3 linked regions of the Saccharomyces cerevisiae S288C genome follow. Changing the gene in region 2 together with the main gene of any one other region gives a genetic interaction. Each region holds a gene or a part of one and is shown on either strand. Other genes may lie near its edges.

The links.
Region 1: of RIM20 (region 2) and RIM101, extra expression of one rescues a mutant of the other (dosage rescue), as found in Saccharomyces cerevisiae (4 studies listed by BioGRID, with this or other methods).
Region 3: mutations in RIM20 (region 2) and FET3 together harm fitness more than expected from each alone (negative genetic interaction), as found in Saccharomyces cerevisiae (3 studies listed by BioGRID, with this or other methods).

Annotation. Positions count from the first base shown.
Region 1 is NC_001140.6:49,184-53,125, reverse strand, and holds RIM101 (alkaline-responsive transcriptional regulator RIM101), read right to left. Parts: upstream 2,016-3,942; coding exon 138-2,015; downstream 1-137. Other genes in the region: WSC4 (Wsc4p), read right to left, coding at 2,546-3,942. UniProt on the Saccharomyces cerevisiae protein: Transcription factor that mediates regulation of both acid- and alkaline-expressed genes in response to ambient pH.
Region 2 is NC_001147.6:839,470-851,457, forward strand, and holds the start of RIM20 (Rim20p), read right to left. Parts: upstream 1,601-11,988; coding exon 1-1,600. Other genes in the region: CAF20 (Caf20p), read left to right, coding at 1,864-2,349; uroporphyrinogen-III synthase HEM4, read left to right, coding at 3,348-4,175; RFM1 (Rfm1p), read right to left, coding at 4,229-5,161; FSH3 (putative serine hydrolase), read right to left, coding at 5,523-6,323; PLP2 (Plp2p), read right to left, coding at 6,800-7,660; YOR283W (phosphoglycerate mutase), read left to right, coding at 7,984-8,676; HUA2 (Hua2p), read left to right, coding at 9,009-9,740; thiosulfate sulfurtransferase RDL1, read left to right, coding at 10,166-10,585; thiosulfate sulfurtransferase RDL2, read left to right, coding at 10,811-11,260; rRNA-processing protein RRP36, read right to left, coding at 11,468-11,988. UniProt on the Saccharomyces cerevisiae protein: Required for the proteolytic cleavage of the transcriptional repressor RIM101 in response to alkaline ambient pH, which is necessary for sporulation and invasive growth.
Region 3 is NC_001145.3:386,180-391,263, forward strand, and holds FET3 (ferroxidase FET3), read left to right. Parts: upstream 1-2,642; coding exon 2,643-4,553; downstream 4,554-5,084. Other genes in the region: BUB2 (Bub2p), read right to left, coding at 1-842; ADP/ATP carrier protein AAC1, read right to left, coding at 1,136-2,065; SEN15 (Sen15p), read left to right, coding at 4,920-5,084. UniProt on the Saccharomyces cerevisiae protein: Iron transport multicopper ferroxidase required for Fe(2+) ion high affinity uptake. Required to oxidize Fe(2+) to Fe(3+), which is then transported into the cell via the ferric iron permease FTR1. Essential component of copper-dependent iron transport.

The sequences.
Region 1 (3,942 bases), on a different chromosome or scaffold from region 2:
CACCTTAACAAATAATTTTTCCTTTAACCATTGTTACCTTGTTTAATCCGCGACGCCGCGCTAGGGCATGTGTGATTTATTCATTTACTATACAGCCGCAAAGAAACAACTAAGAATAAAATATCCGACAATCCATATCATACCAAAATTTTGGGATACTTGGTCAAGATGCGAACTGAGTTAGTTCCCATTTGGTTTTGTAAACTCAATTTTTCTAAAGATTCTTGCAAGAATGCGTTTTCTTCATCTTTGTCCTCACTTTCTTCATCATCTAAATCTTCCATGACACAGCACAACAAGTAGTCCTTGATAATGTTCACTATACCCAACATCTCTACGAAATCATCCTCTATCTCGCTTTCGTCATCTACTTCTTCAATCGCCAGCTTACTCATGATAATATCATTAGTACAGCTTTTTTGGTTCAGGCTAAATTCCCAGTTAGGCTTCAATGAAGTTCCACCTGCCATTGTACGGCGCGATGGTAACATTGGTATCTTTGATTGTAGAGGCGGTAATATAGAACAGCCACTGGAGGAATAGCTAGGCGCAGCACGAACAGATGGATAGTGTGGCATAGCATACTGTGATTGGCGGTTGAAAACACCACCGGCAGTGTTCGAATGTAAAGGTGGCAAATGTTCAGTAAGCGAAGGACCAGTTGGATACTTGGCCAACCGTACTGGCACATAAGTTGCTGTATTTGCAGTGGCCGAAATAGAGCTACCACCTTGTACGGATTGGTATGAAGGAGCATTAGGTGGCTGCACATAGCTTGTTTGTGCTACGGGGATGCGCCCAGATGATGACGAGGACTCAGTACTACCACCGCTTTGTTGCAAAATGTAGTTATTTGTCATATTTCTCGATAGTTTGGTGAAGAATTGGGTGGCGTTTGCTATGGTCTTATTAGAACAACCGTCCTCGTAGACATTCATGCTCCGACTGTTGGCACCTTGGCTTACCGTGCTGCCGTTATTGTAGTATAATGGCGGCAAGATCGTTTGCAATCTGGCACTCAATTGTGGAGAATATACCGGCTTATACTGAGATAGCTCGTCTGAGCATAGTTGGTTTAAGGAAATAGCCCGCTGCTGCTGTTGTGAAGGCAGATGTTGAGATATACCCACGGGCAATGGGGGTAATATCTGTGGAGAAGTAGAATGTGACTTAAAGCTACCAGCTATAGCGGAAGGCACAGATGCAGAACAAGACGACACTGCGTCGCTTGCACAACTTTTGTTTTTCTTAGAAGTTCTTTTTGAGCCCCATTTGGGTCCCCTCTTTCTTTTCAAAATACCGCCACTTTCCAGATGAATTTTCAAATGCTTTTTTAAATCTTGCGGACGTTTAAACTTTTTGGAGCACGTAGAGCAACCGAACGGTTTCAATGGTACGTGAACTCTCAAATGCGAGGTGATATGGTCCCTTTTCTCCGTCTTCGTGGTACAGTCTCCCCAATGACAATTCAATTGTAGGTTCTTATGTGACTTCCTGCCAACATGGTCATGACACAGATGATTATATAGCAGCTCTGGTTGGTTGAAAATCATACCACAGTTGTCCCATTTACAATATAGTGTTATATCCTCAGAATCACCGTCATTATCCGCATCGTCGTCATCACCTGCCGGGTTATGCGCTTGTGCCAATGGCGAGGAGGAGGACGAGTCAGAGGAAGATGATGTGGTGGGTGAAACTGCCGAAGCGCCCAATAGATCGTATGGAGGAGTGTTCAAGTGTGAAGTACTATGATATGGTAAGCATGATGAAGAAGTGCTGCCTGGTGACATCCGTTCATCTTCTTGACCGTTCAAGCCAATAGCTTCCGTGGTACACCTAATTCTAGGCCTCTTCGAACAATCAGAAGACCTTTTAGATAGGTTAGGACTGGGCAGCCCGTCCTTCTTTGTGACGTTAGAAACGTCTGTCCCATTTTCTACTATACTCTCCCGGCTGTGTTGAGGTGCGGCAGTGCCATTTTCTTTATTAAGCAGATCTTCCAATGGCACCATCTTAAGTCAATTTAAACAAACCTACTTTACCGTTTTCAGTATTTTATCTTTGCACTTGTTCAAAAAGTGTTGTGCAATAGCAATATTACTTTCTCAGTGGAAGTGATAACAGACCAATAAAAAAAAAAAAGGTTATAGACGGTGACTCTTATGAAAACATTTAGTTCCTTTCTATATTATTGAGTCTTAATTTTTTATCTTTTGTCTCGTAGATTGGCATCCCTCACCCGTCTGAAATGATTTTATAAGCCTCCGTCATCTCGGACGTAATTTTAGAAACTCCGAGCTGGACGGCTATTTTATTTTCTGCGCCGTAATCTGTGAATCACAGAGAATGTCTCGCACGAACGCGGTATTTAGATTATTGTGCCTGCTGTCACTGGGCAGAGAAAAGTATGTACAAGATAACAGCGTTATTGTCGTAAAGCATTCTTTTGAGAACATTCGAAGGAAAAAAACAAAGTTCAGAATTAAAATTATGTATGTATTATCGTTCGTGGAATATTTATTACGTATAAGAGCTGCAGTCTTTATTCGTTCATTAGCCGCAGAACCCTCCTGGAGTAGTCTACGTTGTCTGATAACGAAATGGTAGAGTGGTTTGTGGCATCGTCATTTGCTAAAGTGTTAAGCATCTTACTTGGGTCTAGCCTCTGATCCACCAGTACCGTGTCTTCACCTAGAGTAACGTTTGATTCCATTTTTTCGTGTTGCTTTTGAATGGGCGAATGAAGAAAAGTAGAAGTTCTTCTGGGAAGAATGGGATCGTGAAATGGGCTTGCCAACGTGCTTGGGTCATTTGGTGGACTGCCTGCAGTCAAGGAATACGTAGATTGACGTGGGGATGGTGATTCAGACATAATTTGTCCCTTTTCATCAGTGTATATTAATCTTGGGGTCGAGAAAGTTGAATTTGAAGATGGTGAAGGCGTGTGTAACGTGGTAGTGGTAACTTCATTTGGGTACTTGGACTGGTAAAACTTACTCTGATATTCATTCTCAAAATCTTGAGCCTTCCGAGCGGGTCTTGTTCTATAATGATGTATTAAGTATATTAGTATGCATATAATTACCAAACATACCACTCCAACCACGACGAAAGTAGCGGCTATTTTCCCGGGCGAATCCCAGTACCCTTTCTTTTCTGTAGACTTGTTAGTTGGTGTATTGCTGTTGGTGGTGTTACTATTGTTATTGTTTGTTATTCTACCACCTACGCTGGCAGACGTAGTAGCCACTGCAGAAGTAGGAGTAGCCCCGAGGGTGGAAGAGTAAATCTGCGTTATTACTTTTTTCATGGTGAGATATCTCGAGGTGATTTCCGAAATGTTAGTGTCCATGGTGTGCACTGAAGTCACTGTTATCACAGAATACTTTAAGGAGGTCTGCAGGTTTACAGAAGTTATAGTGGACGTTATTGGAGATGCTGTGGTACTGGTGTAAGTAACCGTAGTGCTTGAAGGGGCTGTACTGGGTGATGTCGTAGTGAACGTTGTGCTCGTTGGTGTTGTATTAGACGAGCTTGTAGGTGCTGAAGAAGAAGTTGGCGATGTTGTACTTGTTGAAGTGGAAGTTGACGACGTCGTGCTTGTAGAAATGGGGGCTGACGATGTTGTGGTTGGAGTTGATGATGATGATGATGATGTGCTCGTGGAAATGAGGGTTGACGACGTAGTACTTGTGGTGGTAGATGTTGATGATGTGACACTTACGGTCGTAGAAGTCGACGATGAGGTACTTGTGGTGGTAGAGGTTGACGATGTCGTGCTTGTGGGAATGGATGTTGACAACTTTGTGCTTGTAGTCGTGGGCAGTGCCGATGTTATATCAGTTGATGGTGTTGTACTGGTTGAGGCGGTTGTCAATGGGGTCGTACTCGTTGACGTCAGAGTCGGCGAGATTGTGGTTGTGTCCACAATACTCGTAC
Region 2 (11,988 bases):
TTTTATACGATGTAATGATCTTTGGAAGTATTCTATATTCTGAAGATTTCCGCCTCGTCCTATCAATATAATCATTTCTTTCCTGTATGATCATCTTAATCTTATTCGTTAGAGGATCATTAGATTCCGGTAACCTGATCTCTGATCCAATCAAATTTTTATCGATGCTTTGAAATAGTTCATTTGTTTGTTTGTCAATCGCACTACCTTCATCAAGGTATCCTCTCAGCTTTTTTAGTTTTTCATAATATGCTGTGTTAGTAGTTGAAGATTCGGGTAAAGTCCAATTTAAGGTTCCGTGTTTTAGTCGGAGCTGATTGTCAGTAAATGCTTCTTCATTTAAAATTTGCTCAATGTTATCGAGTTGTACCTGCACATTTTTATTATTAATGAGAAGATTATTCAGTGATGCCTGGTAATGACTCAGTTCTGCTTCACTCACCTTTGTAAGCCCTTGTGGTATTTGGAAAGTAGTCAAGGACTCCTTCAATAGTTTATTTAGGGAAGCAAGGGGATTGGTAACACGTTGTTCAACGTATTCATCTTGCCTTTCATTGTATGCTGTGCAATATTCCATCACTTCTATAGGGATTAGGTCTTTGAATAAAGTCTCATCCTTTTTAATAGAAGGCAACAATGTTGCTGAAGAAGATGGTTTAACCATGAGAGCTGGTTTGATCGATGGTAATTCCGAAGGAACTTCTTGTAAGTAGATGAATTCATTGTCTCTTTGGGCTTCTTTCAGAGAAGATTCGACAACAGTTTTAAACTTAGCTTGCGAAGATAGTGTTGATTCATTTATAAATTGCAATCCCATTTGCAGAGCTTTCACAACATTTCCGAACTGCTTCTTCTCATTAAAAGATAAGGCTATTCTGTAATAAGTCACCGCACTAAAGTAAGCCTTTTTAGCCTTTAAGTGGTTTATCCAATCACTTCTAATAAGTTTCCCCCTTTGGGCGTCATTAATAGCCTCGCAGTAGAAGTCCACGATCTGTTGTGACAACTTCGCGATTAAGGAGTCCTTGTGTTTATCTTGCACGGCTTTAAACCAGAAGCATTCTTGCGCTTGTGCTAGCATCAGGGAGGTTAAAGCGTTCAATGTGGCGTCATCTACCACTGGGATTGTCTCAAGATTTTTTTGGTGGTCTAAAACATGTTTAAAGCATCCGGCGGCATTCTGGAAGTACAGACATGACGTTTTGAGGGATTCGGCTGCATCATTGTTGCTATTTAGAGCCAACAGTGAATACATGCAACCAATATTATAAATAATGGTTAATTTTTCCCATTGTAATGAGTATTGACTAGTACCACGAGATTTTTGTGATAGCGTTTGAAACCATGTAAATTCTATTTGATTATTGGGAAACTTTTTCTCTAATTGCAACAATATTACATAGTATTCCTTCAGTGCAGAAAGACCGTCGATTGAGATATCGGGTGCAATCGCATTGTTTCTTGCATCAACAACTTTGAGTATGTCTGATTGGAAAAAGGATGCCGTTTGAAAGGAAGTAGTATCAATTAGTTTTGACAACTCCGTGGCAAAGTCCACTTCTAAAGTTCGCTTAAGTGGAATGGCAAGCAGTTCACTCATGTCACACTGCCTGGATCTCCATAGATAATAATACTCTCTCTGCAAGGGTATAGTAGTGTTTTAATAAGGCTTTATAGTCCCTTTTCTTATGCTATATTATAAAGCCGGGTAGTAGCGAGGCTTGAATATCTCTTTTCCTGGACGAAAAATAGTGAAAAATTGGAAAAAGTATTTGGCGTAAAGCATATTCTACCGATTGCGATAGACATTATTTGAGCTGTAACCTGAATATAGGATTAAGAACTTTTATTTAATTTCACGACATGATCAAGTATACTATCGATGAGCTTTTTCAACTGAAGCCAAGTTTAACTTTGGAAGTTAATTTCGATGCGGTGGAATTTAGAGCCATCATTGAAAAAGTTAAGCAATTGCAACACTTGAAAGAGGAAGAGTTTAACAGTCATCATGTTGGTCATTTCGGTCGTAGAAGATCTTCCCACCATCATGGTAGACCAAAGATTAAGCACAACAAGCCTAAGGTTACAACCGATTCAGATGGTTGGTGCACATTTGAAGCCAAGAAGAAGGGTAGTGGAGAAGATGATGAAGAAGAAACAGAAACCACACCAACTTCTACTGTGCCAGTTGCTACCATTGCCCAAGAAACTTTAAAAGTCAAGCCAAATAACAAAAATATTTCTTCCAACAGACCTGCTGATACCAGAGATATTGTTGCGGACAAGCCAATTCTTGGTTTCAACGCATTTGCTGCTTTGGAAAGTGAAGACGAAGACGACGAAGCATAAGTCATTCGCTCATGCTTTCTTCAGGCAGCTGTACGTGTACTATGTATAAATTTTGAATAACATTTTTTTTAATAAACAGTTTTTACTCTTTTAGGTTACTTTCCAGATTGAAAATATACAACGTGGTTACATAAAGAAATTAAAATGTAGAACGAATCATGACCAACTGTATCAGGTGTTTAAAAAGGCGAGGTGAAAGAGAAAGGCTTCCCCCTCTAATATCAACAGCTGGAGATACATCTTTCTAATAATTAATCTACCATGAGCCGTACGCACTGAAGCAACGCCCATCAAACATCCGAAGCCACATTATGAGTACAAAAGAGGCTGACGTTAATAGGAACTCATGGTGTAATTTTGCTTCACTTTTCTGAATTCAAATGGAAATAGAAGTAAAAATGGGCAGAAAAGTTACCTCATGCTTTAAATATACTCAACTTTTCTCTACCGACAGTAGGAGCCCTAAGAGATAAAGCGAAAAATTTTCACAGCGCGCTCCTTGGTGCGGCGAGGGTATAAAAGGCGATTTCATTTCAATTCTTTGAACTTACTTCATTTGCAGGATCCTTCAGGATAAGAAAACCATCATTCAATAAACTGATCTTCCGGATTACCATGCTTAAGACATCACGCCTCCATATGTCTATATAAAGCGCAAATGGCTGGAAGTAGACCAATTTTTTTTGTTCCTAGCTTTTCATTATTGAAATCTAATCCAGTTTTAATGGTTTTTCTTAATTAAGAAAACAAATTATCATTGGTTCGCTCTAGGTGTACATATCTTCACTTCATTACTCTCTTGTTTACATTGTATACATCGTACATATACTTCAATTATGGAAATACCATAAATTCTCTTAGTGTGTAGTTCACTAGTTTTTGGGGTTGGGTTGTGCTGTAGTCAGCTAAGGCGCTTTAGTGAACTTTCTAGTGAGTTTTTTGAATTTTAGTGTCAAAGGATAAGGAAACAGAAAGGTAAAATAGACCTTGCTCGAGAGATGTCTAGTCGTAAAAAAGTCAGAGTATTACTGCTCAAGAATAAAACTGTCCCCATTGATAAATATGAATTGGAGTGTAGGAGTAAGGCGTTTGAACCCATATTCGTACCGCTTATTAAACATACACATGTAATTCAAGATTTTAGAAATGTTTTGAATACCATCCCAAACTATTTGAATACTATCAATTACATTATTATTACCTCTCAAAGGACTGTAGAGTCATTGAATGAAGCGATCATTCCCACATTGACAAGTGAACAAAAAGCTGCATTGCTCAGTAAAACAGTTTATACTGTAGGCCCTGCTACTGCTAACTTCATCAGAAGATCAGGTTTCATTAATGTTAAAGGTGGAGAAGACGCTGGTAATGGTTCAATCCTTGCTGATATAATTATTGATGACTTGAGTACGGATATTAAGGCATGCCCACCAAGTGAACTATTATTTCTCGTGGGTGAAATTAGAAGAGATATCATCCCAAAGAAACTCCATAGCAAGGGAATAAAAGTAAGAGAAGTGGTTACTTATAAAACTGAAGAATTAAGCGACGGTTTTAAAAGATTCATACACGCCATGAAAGAATGCGATGAGGATGAAGTATTCTCGGACTGGGTGGTAGTTTTCAGTCCCCAGGGAACGAAAGAAATTACTCAGTATTTGGGTGACAGTAACCGCCTACCAGGTTCCCATCTACGGGTTGCGTCCATCGGACCTACCACTAAAAAATATCTGGATGATAATGATGTAACCTCTGATGTGGTCAGTCCAAAACCGGACCCCAAGTCGCTATTAGATGCTATTGAATTATACCAGCGCCATAAATAATATTGATACGTCATATTTCTCTCTATTTATATTTATTTACTTCTTCAAAGAAGCTATTGGGTAGAGTCCCAATCTCTTTTGCGTATACCCGCTACACCACCTTCAAATCTAGATAATATACTTCGTATTCTTTTATTCCCGACAAGTTCATTAATCTTTATGCTCTTGAATGACGGTTTGGTCCTCATTTGCTTTTCTGGTGTATATCTTGCCTTAGGAGGGAGGATCCAATCAGACCTTCTACGTGACTCCAAAATTTTGGGTACCAAACTCTCATATAGGTCTTGGATTTTGGTCTCCCCTTCATCTCCGTCATGTCCGTCGCCTTCTTCATCTTCTTCTGACCCCAGTCTAGACTGTGAACGTCTTTTGTCTCTTTCTGATATCCTTGATGATCTCCTTCTAATACCATCCCTTTCAGTTATATCTGAAGCAATGTCAATATTTTCCACTTCTGATATTGGAATTGGAAATGGCAATTCACTTCCATTTATTTCAGAAATAGTAACATCATCATTGTTTGCATTCGCTTCACTAATTGAGGGTAAAGATGCTGGTAGACTATTTTCTCTTTGAATAGCTCGAGATCTCGTACGTCTTCTTCGACTGGCAGCACCAGTAGTTGTAGGAGTGTTCTCACCTGAATATTCTGTATCGCTGATATCAGCTGATGAGTTTGATCTAGTAGAAGAGGAGGAGGAGGATGTGTTGCGAGGGATTGGTTCGCCGACTTCTTGTGTAGAGTTCCTCTTGATTTTCTTGTAGTATATTCCATATTCTTTATTTCTTAAACTGTCAATATCCACATGGCCACTTGCAGATATTCCTTTTTTGAACGTTTTTATCAGGAAATAATCCTGATACGATTCAAACTCCAAGGGTTTAATGGATTTATTAAAGTCTTTTATTTCATTTATTAACCTCCTCTTATCATTGATTAAACTTTGCAAATCACTATTTTTTATGATTTCCGTATTTGTACTCATTCGCACTTTCTTATAACACCTTCCTGTTGTTCTAATTAAATTCTTTTAATTAAAATTAATAGTTATTTTATATGCAATGTCTTATGATCACTTCTAGCTGTCAGTGTTCCTAGGATAGTGTTCAACAGCGTTTAATATTAATATATTGAGATACTTCCGCCAGATAAAAGAAATCCTTACGTTAAATATATATCATTCGTGTGCCGCGAAAATTCTTTCTTTAGCAACAGATATAAATCAGGTATAGAAAATCAAACGTCAAAGAAGGCGGCAGAAAAGTCACACTATTCCTTTTTCTCGTCGATATTTTCAATAGTTTTATAAAAATTGTATGTAGCTCATATAAATATCAATTATCGAATTACAATTTACCCAAGGAATCGATCATATCTAACAAATCATCTTCCAATTGAGGTTTGTCAAATTGTTTCCGATCTACTTCAGGTTGGGCATTATGCTCTTGACCCTCTTTGCTAGTAATTCCTTGGATCCAATTGCAAACTTGGGATACGAATGGTTTCGAGTTTGGGACAAAATGGGCTCCAGGATGAACCAACAATGTCCTTTTGTTATCGGGCCATGACTCGTACAATGCCATGATTCTAGATTCTGCTACAACTTCATCTAACTCCCCCCTTACATGTAGAGAGGGCACCTGGATAATCCTATGATATTCTTTCTGGTAGGATTGATCTTCTAATTTGAATCCACTAAATGAAATAAAAAATTTTAAAGCGGGCTGTTGTTCATCAGTAAGATTTAATATTCTGTTAAAGTCAGTGACTAAGTAGCCCCCAAGACCTGCACCTTGGCTGAATCCAATGACACCATCAAATGGTCCATTTTCTAGCACGTAGTTACGTAAATAGTTAAACACCTTTTGATCTATTTGAAAGGAATTGAAAGATTCGGGATTTCTAAAGAACCACCCGTATACTTCATCACTAGTCGCTGAGGTGTTGAATTCCTTCGCAGCATCTCTACCCTTTTCTGACTCTGATTGGAATAACGCTTTTTTATCAATTGAATGTGGGGCGCAAGGATAGTATAAATCGTAACCTAACTTCTTCAAATTCTTTCGTAATCCTCCAGTCTTCGCAGAAAATATCTTATCGGATTGGACAAAACCATGTAGCATTAGAACTTTCTTCTTTTCACTCATAATAATAATTCTGGGGTTTGTGGTAGAATTCAGTTTGAAAATGCACCGAAGTAGAACAGATTACTTTCTGTATTACTGCATCCATAGTGTTCTTTATACGCACAACTAGAAAAAGTAAATTTCTATCCTCTGACAACAAAGCGAAAAAGTAGTAAAACTTGATACCAGACCATGCTCCATATGACGATTTAAAAGGTTTATTCTGTCAAGATGTGCCTGCTCGAACTTAATAAGGGGTTTTATTGTATCTGTATCCTAAGTATGCTTGACGGTAATTAAAGAGCTTTAATTGGTTGCCATGACAACGGCTCTTACTAAAATCCATGCTGCAGCGATGTTCAATCATACATACCGTAATCCTCGCGTAAACATTCAGAGAAGTACATGACAAAGTTTGCTGTTCTTTATATCTGTATATATTAAATAATGGGGATAGTGACACCACTTAGCCTGTAAATAAGGAATATTCGCACTATTTAGTCAAAAAATCCATCATCATCATCATTAATGTTGCCATCATCATTTCCACCTATGCCGACATTAAATTTTCCTCTAATACCTGACCTGATCGATTTTTTTTCACCGTAATGCAATTTTCTCTCTTCCCTGGATTCTTCATCGTCTCGGTTCATTATCAGTCTGTTGTCTCCTTCTGCAACAGCGCCAACTTTTACCATAAAATCTTCAAAGTCTTCCATCTTGGAATTATTACCACCCAGTTCTAGTAGCGTTATCATGTTTTTGATTACCTCACCCCGGTAATATACAATTAATGTCGGGCAATTGGATTCGGGATAGTTTTCAATTGCTCTATTGGCAGGTATTTCTACAAATTTTATTTCTCTGAATTTGCATGCAGCAGATTGGAAAAGATGAGACAGAATTCTGCTTTGTAGTTTACTTTGAAGCGAGAGATGAACGAATACGTAGACACCACCGTCATCCTCTTCACCATTGTCATTGGTTTGTGCACCTTCATATTTCTTTCCCTGACTGGCCAAAGTAACCTCTTTGTTGTATTCAGGTTTGTTAATGTGGAAAACTTCTCCAAATTTGGAACGTTCCTGTAATTTGCGGATTTCATTTAATCTTTTGATCTTGTAAGCTTCCAAGAAATCTTCATCTTCATCGTCTTCTAGTTCTTCCAAATCCGACAAGTCTTTATCTTCTAGTCTATTTTCATGCTGCTTGGCAATTGCTTCTTCTAATGCTTCTTCTAACTTTGCAGTGGGCGAAGGTGCACGTTCTGGTATTACACCCTTCGCTCTTAAAATATCGTTCCATTCACTGTCTTCAGATTCGTCCACCTGGACCTGAAACATTGGTTCATTCTGCATTATGTCTGCTGAATATGCCTTTCTTCTCAGTGATGTTTACTCGAAGGCGTTATCTTGTACTGCAGATTTCTTCAGGTCGATCATATAACCTTTTCTTTTTTTCCTCTAGCGGGATTTCCTCTTTTTTCAGTAATTTTTTTTCCAGCGATATTAATACAATGGGAAAATCAGGTCGTCACAATATTACTTAATTCTTTTTTGAATTGTAGAACATAAAGTATTGCTTTATTCATTCTGGTTCGAATTAGTCTCATACTGTAAGATCAAAGCGGCAACGAAGCTCGAAGCTATACAAGCACCCAAAAATATATTTATACCCAAGAATGACTAAGGAAGTACCATATTATTGCGATAATGACGATAACAACATCATCAGATTATTCATTATTAGGCATGGACAAACAGAACACAATGTAAAAAAAATTTTGCAAGGTCACAAAGATACCTCGATCAATCCTACGGGAGAAGAACAAGCCACTAAATTGGGGCATTACTTGCGTTCAAGAGGTATTCATTTTGATAAGGTTGTCAGTAGTGATTTAAAAAGGTGTAGGCAAACTACGGCTTTAGTTTTGAAACATTCAAAACAAGAAAATGTGCCTACTTCCTATACTTCGGGGTTAAGGGAGCGTTATATGGGTGTTATTGAAGGTATGCAGATTACTGAGGCTGAAAAGTATGCTGATAAACATGGTGAAGGCTCCTTTAGAAATTTTGGGGAAAAAAGTGACGATTTTGTTGCTAGGTTAACTGGATGTGTCGAAGAAGAAGTTGCTGAAGCATCTAATGAAGGTGTCAAGAATCTAGCCCTAGTTAGTCATGGAGGTGCTATCAGAATGATTTTACAATGGTTAAAGTATGAAAATCATCAAGCTCATAAGATCATTGTTTTCAACACCTCTGTCACTATAGTTGATTACGTCAAGGACTCCAAGCAGTTTATTGTGAGACGTGTCGGAAACACCCAACATCTTGGTGATGGCGAATTTGTCGTCAGTGACTTAAGATTACGTTAGACACTATATGGTTATTCACTGTTGGGTTTTTCTCATTTTGTATTAGAAATGCGGTTTAGGTAGTAATAGAAATTTCGCATGCGTGTATTTTATTTTAAAACATATAGTTCGTAAGGGTTTATCTAAATGCAGTAGATGTTCATAAATTATAGGGGTTTTATGTTTTTATATTATTGATATAGTTTTTCACATGAGATGAGAACGACGCGTTTATTTTAAAGGAAAGAAAACTGTGTCGTAATATGTAACAAGACTACATTGATACTCCATAGCAGAGAAATGGATATGTTCTGTCGGTGGTAAATTCAGGTGAATTGTATATCAGTGAAACTATGCAACAAACAAAATTTGGCAAGATGTATTTGGACCACGATTCGGTAGTTGAGTACTCAGAAGATGAAATTGTCGAAGCCGATCGTATTACATTGGGCTATAAAAAGAGATTGTCAATGATTGAAAATCAAATGCGACATCTTTTGGAGGATTTTAGTTTGGACGTTCAGCAGATTGAACCCATTCTTGCCGACTTGCAGAAGTACTACGACGCGTTTCTACAACTTTTACAGAAAAGGAACAAATCATTACAATGTAAGAGGTCCACTCACCAGCCGGTCCCATCCCCAATGAATAGCCAGACATCAACAAATGCAAAGGTTAATTTGAGCGGAAAGCTTATGAAGTTTCAGCTAAATAGTGTACAAAAGTTCGACGAAGAAAATATACTAAGGATTCTGCAAAATAAAATAGAATTCGAACATTATTTCCAAATTGATAAAGGTAAGAAGCAAAAGGTGCTATTACTTGCCGTATATCAATGCCTCAATGGGCCAACACGTTTGCATAAAGTGCTTAATATTGAGGGAATTATACATAATAATAGTATCAGAACTATACTGGGCAAACAAGTGTCCAGTTCTAAGTGGACAGTGTTTCTGTACGATGTAAAACTAGTTTTATTGGCGCATAGACAAGATGTTCCGAACTTAGAAACTAGCAAGATGATCGTCAGATATGGTGATTTATTTCCCTGTGCATTGTACTTCAAAGATCATACAGCATACTAAGCGCTTTCCAGGGACACCTTCTGTCGCAAAATATCAGAATTTTTCTTGATTAAACGCAGCATATTGAGTATATGAAATTAACGGGACACTGTGTGAAAAATTTGTAGTTGTACTTTTTTGTTATCCCCTTTGGTAGACATATGGACGAATTACTACTAAGATTGGCTTCCATAAGGCCCAAATCCAGATATCACCTACGGTATGTCCTTTTCCTACTTGCAATGACAAATAATTTGTTATTTATCTTGGAACCTATATAAGTTACATCTGATTGCTTTTGTATTTTTTTTGGAGAATATTATTACCCGCGGGGAAGGAAGTAAGGGGAGAATTTTTGAGGTGTATAAAAGAGAGTGGAGGCTTAATCAATCAAAGAATTCTTTCTCGTTTATTTTCAGGGTTTGTGACTAAGAAACGATATTAAAATGTGGAAGGCCGTGATGAATGCTTGGAATGGAACCGAGAGTCAAAGTAAGAATGTTTCAAATATTCAATCTTACAGTTTTGAAGACATGAAAAGAATCGTTGGAAAGCATGATCCTAATGTGGTTTTGGTAGATGTTAGAGAACCATCTGAGTACTCGATTGTTCATATTCCTGCTTCCATCAATGTGCCATATAGATCGCACCCTGACGCATTTGCCTTAGATCCTTTAGAATTTGAGAAACAGATTGGCATCCCAAAACCTGACAGTGCCAAGGAGCTAATATTTTATTGTGCTTCTGGCAAACGCGGGGGAGAAGCTCAAAAAGTCGCCTCCTCACATGGATATTCAAACACCTCACTATATCCTGGCTCTATGAATGATTGGGTTTCTCATGGGGGTGATAAACTTGACTTATAGCCTTGTATACTCTAGGTATGTACCCTGTGTATTTTCGTAAGCTAGTAACGTATTATGCCATTTATGTCACACCGTTCATAATATTTGCCTATTGCATTGGCTGTGATAGCGGCGGCGCAAAGAAATTAGGAAGTATAAAAAAAAAAATACAAAACTTAATCTGAATGGAATAAGATAGCGATAACTCTCAACAAATGGAAGCGAGACAGAAGAAAAAGACCAACGATGTTCAAGCATAGTACAGGTATTCTCTCGAGGACAGTTTCTGCAAGATCGCCTACATTGGTCCTGAGAACATTTACAACGAAGGCTCCAAAGATCTATACTTTTGACCAGGTCAGGAACCTAGTCGAACACCCCAATGATAAAAAACTATTGGTAGATGTAAGGGAACCCAAGGAAGTAAAGGATTACAAGATGCCAACTACAATAAATATTCCGGTGAATAGTGCCCCTGGCGCTCTTGGATTGCCCGAAAAGGAGTTTCACAAAGTTTTCCAATTTGCTAAACCACCTCACGATAAAGAATTGATTTTTCTTTGTGCGAAAGGAGTAAGAGCCAAAACTGCCGAAGAGTTGGCTCGATCTTATGGGTACGAAAACACTGGTATCTATCCTGGTTCTATTACTGAGTGGTTAGCTAAAGGTGGTGCTGACGTTAAGCCCAAAAAATAAGCCAAAAAGAAACAAGTATAATCGATATATCCTGTATATAGACAACCTTTTGTGTATTTCAAATTTTTTGTTGTCACCTCTCCGATTCATTCGATTTTCTCCTTGTGGTTCGCGGATAACCTCTTACTTCCATTAGTTTATGTGTGCGTTTATTTTTTTATCTTTCTCTATATATTACTTTAATGTGCATTCTTTTGCTTAAATACTCTACCTACGATTATGAAATTCAAATTGTTTAAACTCTTTACCCAATCTCTTCTTCCTTTTCCTTTCCATGACCTTTTCACGTTGCTTGGCCTTCATGTGATCAAATTTCCACTTTTGCACCACTTTACGTTTCTCAGACTTTTTCAAATGGTATCTCGTATTATTGTTTTTATTCATATCATTTTCGTATTCCTTGAGAATTTCACGCTCGAGATCTTTGTTTTTCATTGATTGCAATCTCGATTTCATACTTTTCAGTCTTTGTTCCATTTCTTCACGTTCTCCCTGGTCTATTTTTGATAGAAATTTTCTTTCTTGTAACAGCTTCTGCAGTTCATCAATTTCTTTTTCTCTATATTCGTCCAAGAACTGGTAACGTTTTCTTATGATAGAACTATCAAGGGCTTTACCGGTGGACTTATCAAATCTGATGTCCTGATAGAGGTTAGACCTTTTATTCCTCGGTATTTCCAGCCCAGGGATATTTCGGACTCGTGGTACCCTTTTCTTGGATGATTGTT
Region 3 (5,084 bases), on a different chromosome or scaffold from region 2:
CCGACGCCCAGCCGAATGATCTCGTCAGCATCAAAATCCGGAAACTGTCGTAGTAAATTAACAGGGGAATCCGATTTGAAAACCTTGGATCTCATTTTAACTAGGAATGCCACCACAAAGAGAATATTCATATGGAATCCATATGCAAACATGAAATCCCACAGTTTAATGACCTGATCAAGCGGTTTATTGCAGCTGGATAACGTGAGTATGGAAGGCATACCATAAATCTCTGCTGTAAGTAAATTGTCCGATAGAAATTTACTCAGCTTTGGATCAATGATTCTGAGAGAAATATCTAGTAGTTTGGCGCCGTTCTGGGCGCCGTTTAGGTTCTTAGTTAGATACGTCGGTATCATTTCATAACAAAGCTTAGTGAAAAGTTGATACGCCATAGGTTCAGAAGGACATGAGTAAAGCAGAGGAGCTAATAACACGTTCATGCCCTGCACATATGTGCTCACAGGAATGCGACCAAAACGAGTCTTTTGTCTTCTTTGTTGTGTTTGCCAAGCAAAGCACGACAGACACCGGATGAGGGCATCCTCTGAGACTCTATTTCTAAAGTTTGGATCCGTCTGAAAAGTTCTGGATGTGTCGTTCTTGATTTTTTGGTAAATGGTTGTGGAAGGTGGGCCCAGTTTCAAGAGCGCAAGGTACCGTTGTGTAGACGCCTCCATAGAAGTTTGAGAGAGCACCGTCCACACGTAACATCGCGTGCGCTGCTGCTGTTTATCTTCAGATATGGGAAGCCCTTCACTGAGTATGAGGTAGCGAAGTTGAGAGAGTGAGGAATGCAGTAGCAGGGGAGGATTTGATATCAGATCTTCAATTGAGGTCATGCAAAAGTTAACAAGTTTAAAAGTCTGTTGTTTCTTTTACCTTTACGTCGTTACTATTATTACTATTATTATCATTTTTTTTTTTTTTTTTTTCAATGTTTAGCTTGGCGTACGTAAACGGTTCCCTTCCGCACGGCGTTTACTGAATTGTCAGGACATAAATTCAAAGAAGAAAGAAGACCTCCAGTGTCATTATAGCATAAGACAGGTATGTAGCAAGAATGAATATGTAAATAAATAGCAAGAATATGTAGAATTTTTAGATTTTATTCGTTTGTTGTTTTCTTTTTTTTTCACTTGAATTTTTTGCCAAACATTATGAGTTGCAACTGATCGTACAATGAGATGACACCAGCTGCAGCGACTCCTCTAAATATGTTGGCACCACAGCCCTTGAACAAGGAATACGCGCCCTCTTTCTGAACAATCTTTCTCAAACAGTCCAGAGCACCGTCGTACTTGATGGTCTGGCCCGAAGTCATCATCATCCTTCTTCTTACCGTATCCAAGGGATACGACGCAGTGGAAGCACCCATGGTAATGACCCAACCTAATAGGAAAGAGGCAACAAAGGACCCCTCTAGAGCCCCCGTCAACAGCACAGGCTTGAAAGAATCGTACAAGCCAAAGTACAGACCTCTGTAGACAATGATACCCAGAACTGAGGGCACAAACCCACGGTACAGACCCAACAACCCGTCCGTTTTCAGTGTCTTCTTATACACGTCTAGCAATCCATTAAACTGTCTTTGCGAGGTTGACTTAGAACCCCTAGCATCCGCTGCAAGCCGCGTCCTTGCGTAGTCCAAGGAATATACAAATAGAAGCGACAAACCACCAGCCGCTCCACCAGAGAAAAGATTTCCAGCAAACCACTTGGCATACCCATCGCGCTCTCTGTCGTAACTCAACAACGACTTAATTTTGTCTTTGAAGGCAAAATTCAGCGCCTGCGTGGGGAAATACCGGAGAACATTGGCGGTGTTACCCCTCCAGAACGACACAATACCTTCATGAGTCGCAGTCCTCTTGAAGCAATCTAAAATTCCCTTGTACCGTGTATCCAACGAGCCCTGTTTAAGCATCTCTTCTTGATTCTGCATCAACAGTTTCACCCGTTCAATGGGAGCGGCACCCGTCTTCGCAATGGCAGCAGAAACGCCGCCCATAAGGAAGTCCACACCGAAGTGTGACTGCTGAGTCTGTGTTTCTGTGTGAGACATTACTGCTGTAAAAAGGAAAAATAGAAAAGAATAACAGATACGAGAATCTGTGCTGCCTTCTTTGCGATAATGCCTTGGCTTGCCTATTTCACGGTTACAGGAATAATAACATGTTCATACCGTTTCAGGACCAATAAATGGTCTTCTGCGAGAGAAAAAGGACACTCTCCGTCCGACAGAAATAAGCTTTACTTTCCGGGTGCGAATCAGCCCGTTGCGCCTGGGGTGGTCCCTACAGTACGCTGAGTCGCCGATAAAGACCCTCCGCCTAGAGCTAGGCGAGGCTGACTTAGGCAGGCCCAACAGGCAAGGCCCATCTTCAAAAGTGCACCCATTTGCAGGTGCTCTTATTCTCGCCAATTGCGACAGAAAATGAAGGATGCACTCAAACAGTCGATCCTTCGAGGGAGTATGCCAAGGCCTCGTGCATGTAGTGCGATTATATATATATATATATATATATATATATGTATGTAAGCAGGCCATGCCCTATAGCTCTTGTTCTATAAGCGATGGATAGGCATAGGAAACGAAGAGGACCCCAGTGTAAGGAAGAGTAGCAAAAAATTAGAACTAGATGACTAACGCTTTGCTCTCTATAGCCGTTTTGCTTTTCTCGATGCTCTCGCTAGCACAAGCGGAGACGCACACGTTTAATTGGACCACTGGCTGGGACTACAGGAACGTTGATGGGCTAAAGAGCCGTCCCGTGATCACCTGTAATGGCCAGTTCCCATGGCCAGATATAACGGTCAACAAAGGTGACCGTGTGCAGATTTACTTGACCAACGGAATGAACAACACCAATACTTCTATGCATTTCCACGGTCTCTTCCAAAACGGAACCGCCTCTATGGACGGTGTGCCCTTCTTGACGCAATGTCCAATTGCGCCAGGCAGTACTATGCTTTACAATTTCACGGTGGACTACAATGTAGGCACCTACTGGTACCATTCACACACGGACGGTCAATATGAAGACGGGATGAAAGGTCTTTTCATCATCAAGGATGATAGCTTCCCCTACGATTACGATGAGGAACTTTCTTTATCGCTTAGTGAGTGGTACCACGACTTGGTCACGGACTTGACGAAGTCGTTCATGAGTGTTTATAATCCGACAGGTGCTGAGCCCATCCCACAGAACTTGATTGTTAACAACACGATGAATCTGACATGGGAAGTCCAGCCCGATACGACGTATCTTTTGAGAATTGTCAACGTGGGTGGGTTCGTTTCGCAGTACTTTTGGATCGAGGACCACGAAATGACCGTGGTCGAAATCGACGGTATCACTACCGAGAAGAACGTAACGGATATGCTTTACATCACTGTCGCTCAGAGATATACAGTCCTGGTTCACACTAAAAACGACACGGACAAAAATTTCGCCATCATGCAGAAATTTGATGACACCATGTTGGATGTCATTCCAAGTGATTTACAGCTGAATGCAACCTCTTATATGGTCTACAACAAAACCGCTGCGCTGCCCACACAAAATTACGTGGATTCAATTGATAACTTCTTGGACGATTTCTACTTGCAACCGTACGAGAAAGAAGCCATCTATGGCGAGCCAGATCATGTGATTACCGTTGACGTTGTTATGGATAACTTGAAAAACGGTGTGAATTACGCCTTCTTCAATAATATCACCTATACTGCACCAAAAGTTCCTACTTTGATGACCGTTTTGTCTTCAGGTGATCAAGCAAACAACTCCGAAATCTACGGTTCAAACACGCACACTTTCATCCTAGAGAAGGATGAAATCGTGGAGATTGTGCTAAATAACCAGGACACAGGTACCCATCCTTTCCATTTACATGGTCACGCTTTCCAAACCATCCAGAGAGATCGTACATATGATGATGCCCTAGGTGAAGTTCCTCACAGTTTCGATCCGGACAACCACCCTGCCTTCCCAGAATACCCAATGAGAAGAGATACTTTATACGTTAGACCACAATCCAATTTCGTCATCAGGTTTAAAGCCGATAACCCAGGTGTTTGGTTCTTCCATTGTCATATCGAATGGCATTTGTTGCAAGGTTTGGGTCTTGTTCTCGTGGAGGATCCTTTTGGTATCCAAGATGCTCATTCTCAACAACTCAGTGAAAACCACTTAGAAGTTTGCCAGAGTTGCTCTGTGGCCACTGAAGGTAACGCCGCTGCCAATACACTGGATTTAACTGATTTAACTGGTGAAAATGTTCAGCATGCCTTCATTCCTACCGGTTTTACCAAAAAAGGTATTATTGCCATGACATTCTCCTGCTTTGCCGGTATTCTTGGTATTATCACAATTGCAATTTATGGTATGATGGATATGGAAGATGCGACCGAAAAGGTTATTCGAGACTTGCACGTGGACCCTGAAGTCTTGCTAAATGAGGTTGATGAAAATGAAGAGCGTCAGGTAAACGAAGATCGTCATTCCACTGAAAAGCATCAATTTTTAACTAAAGCCAAACGGTTCTTCTAATAAAGGAAGATCATGTATTTTGCGGTTAACCTGTTTTTTTTTTTTCGGTCAAGGGTTCCAAATGCATTTGCATGTAAAGTGAATGCCCTTGTCTTACTTAATATTACATAGACATATACTTAATAATCTACCACGTTTCAAATTCAATAATGCATGCTTCTTGGCGGTTTTTGACATGAGATCCTCATCTGTCACGAGGCTGATGTGCATACTTTTACTTTTAATCGATGACATGATCAGTTTCTTTTGAACAAAAAGCCGTTATGGGTTGAAAAAAAGTGAAAATGAAAAAGTCATCAGAAATATATGAAAGATATAATAAATTGTCGAAGAGAAATTACGTCGAGGAGGTTGAGGAAAATAAGAATGGCAACGACAGATATCATATCTCTAGTAAAAAATAATTTACTCTATTTCCAAATGTGGACGGAAGTGGAAATTTTACAAGACGATTTATCATGGAAGGGAAATAGCCTGAGATTACTGAGAGGTCGTCCGCCTCACAAGCTGAGCAACGATGTAGACACAGAG